2 linked regions of the Sus scrofa genome follow. The protein of the gene in region 2 purifies or fractionates together with the protein of the main gene of each other region. This does not show direct contact. Links are inferred from orthologs where the notes say so. Each region holds a gene or a part of one and is shown on either strand. Other genes may lie near its edges.

The links.
Region 1: the proteins of NCKIPSD (region 2) and GEMIN2 purify together in Homo sapiens (co-immunoprecipitation; 3 studies listed by BioGRID and IntAct, counting the BioPlex papers as one, with this or other methods). This does not show direct contact. The link is inferred for Sus scrofa from reciprocal best matches to the Homo sapiens genes NCKIPSD and GEMIN2.

What each region holds. Positions count from the first base shown.
Region 1 is NC_010443.5:169,674,812-169,678,726, reverse strand, and holds the start of GEMIN2 (gem-associated protein 2), read right to left. Parts: upstream 2,576-3,915; 5' UTR 2,561-2,575; coding exon 2,391-2,560; intron 2,022-2,390; coding exon 1,937-2,021; intron 1-1,936. UniProt on the Homo sapiens protein: The SMN complex catalyzes the assembly of small nuclear ribonucleoproteins (snRNPs), the building blocks of the spliceosome, and thereby plays an important role in the splicing of cellular pre-mRNAs.
Region 2 is NC_010455.5:31,374,829-31,378,675, forward strand, and holds the start of NCKIPSD (NCK-interacting protein with SH3 domain), read right to left. Parts: upstream 2,857-3,847; 5' UTR 2,732-2,856; coding exon 2,561-2,731; intron 60-2,560; coding exon 1-59. UniProt on the Homo sapiens protein: Has an important role in stress fiber formation induced by active diaphanous protein homolog 1 (DRF1). Induces microspike formation, in vivo. In vitro, stimulates N-WASP-induced ARP2/3 complex activation in the absence of CDC42.

The sequences.
Region 1 (3,915 bases), on a different chromosome or scaffold from region 2:
TAAATTTCTATAAATTTTTTTTCAGATGTAAAAAAGGGAATTCTCTTTACTATTTATGTCTGAGACATAAGACATTAGGAAAAGACCCCTTATATGATCACTTTAGTAAGAGCAATATGGAATGGCTTATAGTTTATATATTTATGTATATATTATATGTATTAAGAAATCCAAGAGTTCCAGTCGTGGCTCAGTGGTTAATGAACCTGACGAGCATCCATGAGCTTGTGGGTTTGATCCCTGGCCTTGCACAGTGGGTTAAGGATCCAGCATTGCCGTGAGCTGTGGTGTAGGTTGGCAACTACAGCTCTGATTGGACCCCTAGCCTCCCCCAACACCCTCTTTTATCTACTAGTCCATCAATAACATATCTACTAAAGAGCTTAAAATTATGTCTGAGCTAATAAAAGTAGGAATACTACTTTCTACTGTGGCTGTGGCAAAGGCTGGCAACTACAGCTCCGATTGGACCCCTAGCCTGGGAACCTCTATATGCTGCGGGTGCAGCCCTAAAACAGACAAAAAAAAAAAAAAAAAAAAAAAAACAAATCATACGAGCCCTGAAGATATAATCTAGCCCTACTTTTCTATAACAGCAAAACAGTCTGAAACAAAAAGAGAGATATATTCCAAAAAAAGAATCTTGGTATGAGTAGAATGTACTCAAGTAATTTAAGACTTTTGACTTTACAAGGTCTACTTCTGTTTCCCAAAATAGCACATAGGTGATAAATGATCACATATTGCCTTGAAATAAAACTTAGTATGGTCTTTTTTTTTTTTTTTTTTTTTTTTTTGTCTTTTTAGGCCTGCATCCATGGCATATGGAAGGTCCCATGTTAGGGGTCAAACTGGAGCTGTAGCTGCTGGCCTACCCCACAGGCACAGCAATGCTGAATCCAAGCCACATATGTGACATAGACCACAACTCACAGCAATGCCAGATCCTTTAACCCACTGAGCTAGGTCAGGGATTGAACCCATGACCTCCTAGTCAGGTCTGTTACCACTGAGCCACAATGGGAACTCCTAGTATGGTCATTTTTTAAAAGCCAGATATATAAGGTATCATCTTCCAGCAACTAAAAACTTCTGAAAAGGAATTACATGAAAACTATAGTGTCTGAATTAAAATCTCCTGATTATAAACATGAGATAAAGGAATTACTTAGAACATAAAAGGAAAAGGAATTATTACAATTTAAAAACAAATTGAATCCTCTCCTTCCACTGTGGGTTAAATAGCACCTCCTTAAGGAGACCTTCTGCTGCTAATCCCTGTTACTTATTGGTCATTATGTTAACTTTCTTCACAGCAAGAGTCAAAATACGCAATTAAATTGTTTGCTTTTCTTCTTTCTCAGGAGAATGTAAACTCTACAAGGGTAGGGACATATTTTTTGTTTCATCCTCTGTTGTATTTCCAGTGTCTAGCACAACAGAGTTGCTTTGTAAAAAGTGTGCTGGATAAACAAATGAAAAGGTTTACAGTGGCAAAATACCTAGAAAAGTGTAAGATATTTTGATTTCAAATTTTTAAAAAACAAAAGCCAGTCAAATTCAGAACATGCAAACTACATTAAAGTTAAATATCAGCCCAATAATAATTATGAAGAAGTGCAAAAAGATACCTTAAAAATAAAGGATAGCGTAAGTAACTTATTTAAAGCCTCCTTTAGGATTTGATCATCTTCTTAAAGTATTATGAGCAAATCTCCATGAATGCTAGGGTTACCAAAAGCCTCTATGGAAGCAGTAAATGGAATCTGTCCTTTTAGGGGACAAAGTACAAGCAAATGTCTAATTTACTAACTTACTACAGAGTAGTCAAATCTTAACTGATACTGCCTGATACTATCTGATACTATACTAAGAGCCTTGGTCTTTTAATTTGTAGTTGGGAGTGGGAAATCCCCTGACGGGTAATAAAACTCACAGAAACATTTACACTTTGCTTCCTTTTCAACTTCTTTGGGTCAATTTGAGCTACCACAACATCTGGACATTGAGCTGCTTCGATCCTACAAACAAATAATAAATGCAAGAAACGTGATTACTGTTGTTCATGCGCATTAAAACAAGCGATCCACTTCTACAGTTCATTACAAAATCAGAAAAAAAAAGTTCAGAATTGCAATTGAGGTACTAAACGATATATTTCTGAAATTATCTGGACTGAAAGCAAAGAAATTTAAGTTCACGTTATCTTCTCACGAGTAATCACGTTTAGCAAAATTAAGTTCATAGATGCAATGAAGGGATCTTGATCCGGTCCTAAACTGGAGACGGGATCAGAGACAGGGCTTTATCAAATTTGGTGGTGGGGCGAGGCACTGGGCGCTGTGCGCAGGGAGAACCACCAGCCCACCGCACAGGGTCTAATCACTCACTGGACCCGCCTCAGGTATTCCTGAGGAGTCCTCGGAGGTACGCTGGGATCGAAACCTTCTGTCAAGTCGCAGGGCTCCACTGGCAACAGCTGGGGCATCAACTCTTCCACCGCAGCCTCTGCAGGTACCCACGCCATAGTTTTCAATCCGGCCCGTCCTGCCCGGCGCATGCGCCAAGTCTAGGTCACAGCGCAGGCGCACAAGTGGGCGGGCGCCTTTGGCGCGGAGATGGGCAAGAGGCTGGGTTTAGGGGGCGAAGCTGCGCATGAGCTAACTCGCTGGTTGTCCTAAGGTTAAGGCTCGGGTGGAATAATGAAGACCAGGAATTTAGTTCCTGGTACTAGTGGTTCTGAAGTGTTTAAGGGGGGTTCCTTCTTTACTCTCCTAAGTAAATACTGAAGATTATTTTATGCATCCACAGTAGTGAGGGAACTTTAAATGTTTTTAAATTAATGAGCAGATTACTGTAATTATCACTTGTTGAGCTCTAAATTCTTAAGTCTCTGGTAGACACATCACATGCATTTCTTCTTTCTTTTCTTGGCTAGGCCTGTGGCATGCTCCCCTGCCAGGGATTGAACAAGCGCCACAGATGTGACCCAAGCCGCTGCAGTGACAACGTAGGAGTTTTAACCAGCTGCCCCACAGGGGAACTCTTCCATGGAATAGAAGCAATTGCTGTTTGAACAAAAGCTAGCAGTTTTAGTGACAAGTCTTGTCAGCATTTAAAGAAGAAAAGACAGGCATGAAATCAACCGTGTTGTAATTTTAAATGGCCATCAGCACCTTGACCTGGTATGTGCTACTTAAACTCTTATGCTCACGTTCATTTGTTATTTACAGGGATTGGACCAAATTATCATTAAGGTCTATTTGAGTTTGGAATTCTATTAACTCTAATGTGTAATTTATTAATTAGCTTTATTAACTATACCTGATATTATTGTAGTCTTAGGGCATGCAGAGTAGAACATATATGATGCTGAATATTACTTTTTCTAGTGAGTAGTTCAAAAATAGTTGGCCAGTGCTTTATAATGTCACCATCTGAACAAATGGAAGAGAATCCACGTTAGAAAAAATAAGTGCCTCGTTTATAGAGTAAACAAAAAAGAAAAAGTAGAGGTGAAACCGCCATCTAGTGGTGACCATGTAAAATTCCCAGAAATTTGTGTTACCATATTTTACCTACTGCTGGAATCTCCAATTTGGAAATCTCTGTGGGTTCAAAAGTAGGAAGGAAAATACTGGCTGTTACACATTAACAAGTGATTAATTAATGACTGAATAATGTTCAGAATACTTGCCCCCAGATGGTCCCTGGAAAAAAGTTCCAAGGTCAAATATCTTTGGGAAATGTATGCAAATGCCACTCTTAAAGATTCACAATGAATATTAGCATATTAAAACTCTTGACAAGTCAAGATACCTATTGTACATAATTTTACTGGTGTTTTTGACCACAGGACCTCTTTCTCTCTCTCTCTTTTTAATATTCTCTGGCATTGTAAAAAATGCCAGTCTG
Region 2 (3,847 bases):
GCATTGTGCACAGCCTCAATGGCCCGGTCAATGGCTTGGAGGACATCTTGCTCCAGGCCCTGTGGGAGCAGGGATGGGCAGTTAGGCCTGGGGGCCAAGTGAGGATACTGAGCCCAGAACCAGCCCAGGATGGAGCCTGGGGCAGACAGAAGACCACTACAGCTAAAGCCCAGGATGCTAGGTGAACATAGTAAGATGAACTAGAATATGAAATGGGGTTCACAAACTCAGGGAGCTGGGCCACAGGGTGAGTGCTGCTTTATATACTTGGGGCCTACTCAGGATTTTACCTCACAGTGAGGCTCTTAGCTAAGATGTGTCTGAAAACCCGGAGTCTAGAGCAAAAACAGCCCAGGGACCCCTAGTTTGAGGTCATGAGTACACAGTCTATCCCCAGGCTTGGCTCAGATCCCTGGTGGAGATGCCAAGCCAGGAGCCTCTAGTGCTTGGAACTATTTAACAAATCACTTTAGATCTTGCTGATCTTTCACAAAATCAAGGTCACATTCCAGAACAGCCCTGTCCTCAGAGAGTCTTCTGCAGGCCCTGGTAGCTGAGGATGGGCCAAAGGGATCTCCTCTTCCCACCCAGCTGCTAGCCCTCATCACCTCAAACTGTTCTAGGAATCTTCCAGACCCACCCTGGGAAGCAATGGTTCTGTGTTTGTGGCAAAAGACAGACATGAGCACGGGACCTGGCCCCCGGCCCCTGGCCCAGATTCTGTGTTGCCATCCACAGTAACTCAGGGTCCAATCTAGGTCCTGGCTGGCATGGGGTGGGGAAAAGAGGGTGACAGCTGTGGGACCAGCTACCCCTACCCCTCCCTGCCCCTGGCACACATGGTCCGTCAGGCATTGGAACCTCAGAACTAAAGTGATAGCACTCCAGAGTGGGTTTGTGAAATTTCTCTGATGGGAACAGACAGATGGACTCAGAGGTCAACAAAGCCCTCCAGGTAGCATGGGGAGTGCCACAGTGTAGGAGACAGAAGACGGAAAGGGGGACAGAAAGAGAATGACAGGCTACACATAGAAAGCAAGAAAGATGGGGTGCGGGGAGAAGCAGATGGAGATAACATGGGAAGAAACTGAGATGCGGAGAGAAAGCAAAGAGTCGGAGGAAGAAAGAGATACACACAGGTGGAGAGTCAGAATGACACAGAGATATAAAGACGACTAGGGAGGCCAAGACAGAGGGAGATATGCAGCAAGAAGCCAGGGGATAGAAAATATGATAGCCTCTCTGCCTGCCCCAAACACCCAGCCCCAGTGGCCCAGGTTGGGGAGGGGTCTCAGAGGCCCTTGGGGAAGACGCAGGACTTCCCTCAGTTCTCCAACAAGCCCCCAGCCCCTGAGAGGCTAGTCTGACATGCTCATTCCAGACTCACCAGCCTTAGTGTCCAGGGCTCCCCCTCTCACCCCAGACACTCCTAGATACCAGGAGGCCAAGGGTCCAGGGCCCATCCCCTCTGGCAAGACCAGATGGCATCTCCAAATTTATCCTGTTATTTCTGTCCTGAACTGGGCTGGGATAGGATGTCTCCTAAAGACTAGGGACTAGGATGGGGCGGAGGTGTCTGGCACAGGGCAGGCCTAGAGGCTCCAGGCCCTCCTTCCCCTGTGATCAGAATAGACCAGCTGGAGACAATGCACCCCAGCCCCCACACCAGGACTATTCTTGGGGAAACAGGAACTGGGACTGCAGCCTTTACTGGAAGGAAATGGGGCTACAGCCAGACCAAGGGAAGCCCTGGAGAGGTCTCACTTCCTTGCAATGGGAGAAGCCCCCACCCAGAGTGGGGATAAGGAGAGATGGAGCCCCTCACTTTCTGAGAAAGGAAGTCTGAAAAGTCAGGGCCTGAGGCTTGTGAAAGAAGGTAGAGAGAGTAGTGCCGGGGAGTGTCAGCAGGGACTGGGATCTCTGGCTCAAAGTGGGTTAGCAAATGTGTCTTAGGAAGGGTTTAGGAAATGAGAGAGTACAGGGTAGTCAAAGACATGAGGTCTAGGGGCTTGGGGGTTATTTAGGGGATGAGGCTTCTGGGTCCAAGTTGGGGTGGGGTGAGGGTATGGAGATGGCTGGAAACAGGAAGTGTCCAGGGTTTCCCAGGTCTCCGTGGTGGAAGCTGAGGGATGAGAAGCAAGCCTGTGGGATCCTGAGGATCCCAGGAAGGGGCTGATTAGGTCTGGGGTCTCAGTGATGTGTGGAACCGGTCAGAATTTGGTGTTGCTGGAATCTCAGGACTGACTCTTGAATTCTATTTGGATGGGGGTTCAGATGTTGGGTCCCGATGGGTCCGCGATCCCAAGGAGTCTTAGTACTAGATTTAGGCTTTGGTGGGTCTGGACTCCTCAGAGTTGGCTGTCAAGGGCATGGTCTTCTGTGGGGGTGCGGGTTCTTAGAGCCCCAGTCCTTGTGGCGGGGGTGGTCTCAGGGTCAGTTTCTCAAACTCCATTATCTGTTGGAGGTCCCAACGGACCTGGGGTGTCGGGTCAGCCTTGTGAGGCTGTTCTGGAGCTGACCTAGGGGCTGCAGAGGTCGGGCCAGGGAGGGGCACACTCACCTGCAGGCGGCGCAGGTAGGCGGGCGGCACGTAGCCCGTCTCGCCACTGCGCGCCCGCGCCGCCAGCCACCAGTGCGCGCTGCTGCGCTCCAGCACCAGGAAGGTCTCGCCCGCGGCGAACGCCAGCGCGTTGGGCTCCGCCGAGCGGAACGCGTACAGCGCGCGGTACATGGGGACGGGCCAGGCTGGGCCGGGGCGGGCCGGGGCAAGAGAGATGGCGAGGTCTGTGGATTCAGGACGCCAGGCCAGGAGCGCCTCGCCGCGCTCGCCTTGCCCCGTGACATACGGCGCGTGCGCGCGCGCGCCCGCCGCAGCCCCGCCCCGGGAGTGTGTCGGTCTCCGAGCAGAAGCGCGGAGCCCCCTGGTGGCCTAAAGCACTGGCGAGTCCATCGCCCTTTCTGCCAGTTCCGTGGGCTTCTGCAACCCTGCAAGCTCATGCCTCCCGACCTCCGCACCCTCCCTAGAACCCCAGCCTTAGCTTCTCTCGCCTAGCCCTCCACTCCCTTTATCCACTCAAGCCCAAGTGCTGCCGGCTGTGCTACTTTCCCAAAGTAGCGTTCTGCCTGCAGCCCAAAGGCAGAGCCAGTGTCCTTCGCAGATAGTCCCGTGAGTCCTGGCCACCCCGAAGGAGTGGGTCCTGACCTACTAATATAAAGGTCCCCGTGAAGGTAGTCCTGTTGTTGCATCTTGATACTTAAAGGCGTCAGTAGGGGCTGGGTCTCCACGGTATCTCTAGGCCTTCGGATCCCGCTTACCGCACCAGTGGTAGGCACTGGGGTGCAAGGAGGGGGCTTTAAAAACAAAACAAAAAAACCACAGCGTGGGGCCATTTCTCTGTCCAAAGTCCTCCCATCCTCCCTTCCCAGCCTACTGCCTCTCTCCCACCACTAGCATCCCTCTCCTTCTCTAATGTGGGTCTTTGCCTAGTTTCCTCTGCCTGGGACACTTCCCTCCCTCAAGCATAACGTTGCTGGGTGCTCGAACCCCTATAAATTGCTGTCACGTTGCTCTTTCTGTTGTCTCTGGCGACTTACAACTCCAGGTTATCTTGTTTCTGATGCTTCTCTAAGAGCAGACAGAAGGGCTAGTGGAGGGTGCGGAGTATGTGGCCTTAAGAGCTTGTTTGATTGGTTCACCTTCAAGTCAGCCTTGGGAGGATAAGGGCTGTGAGGGGAAACCCTCAGGCTCAGAGTCCTGGGGACCTCCTATTCCTGCCCAGGGGCTACTCCAGACACATTCCCTTTGGAAGTCTGGGCCCAGGGAACAGGGACTATAGGCACAACCAGG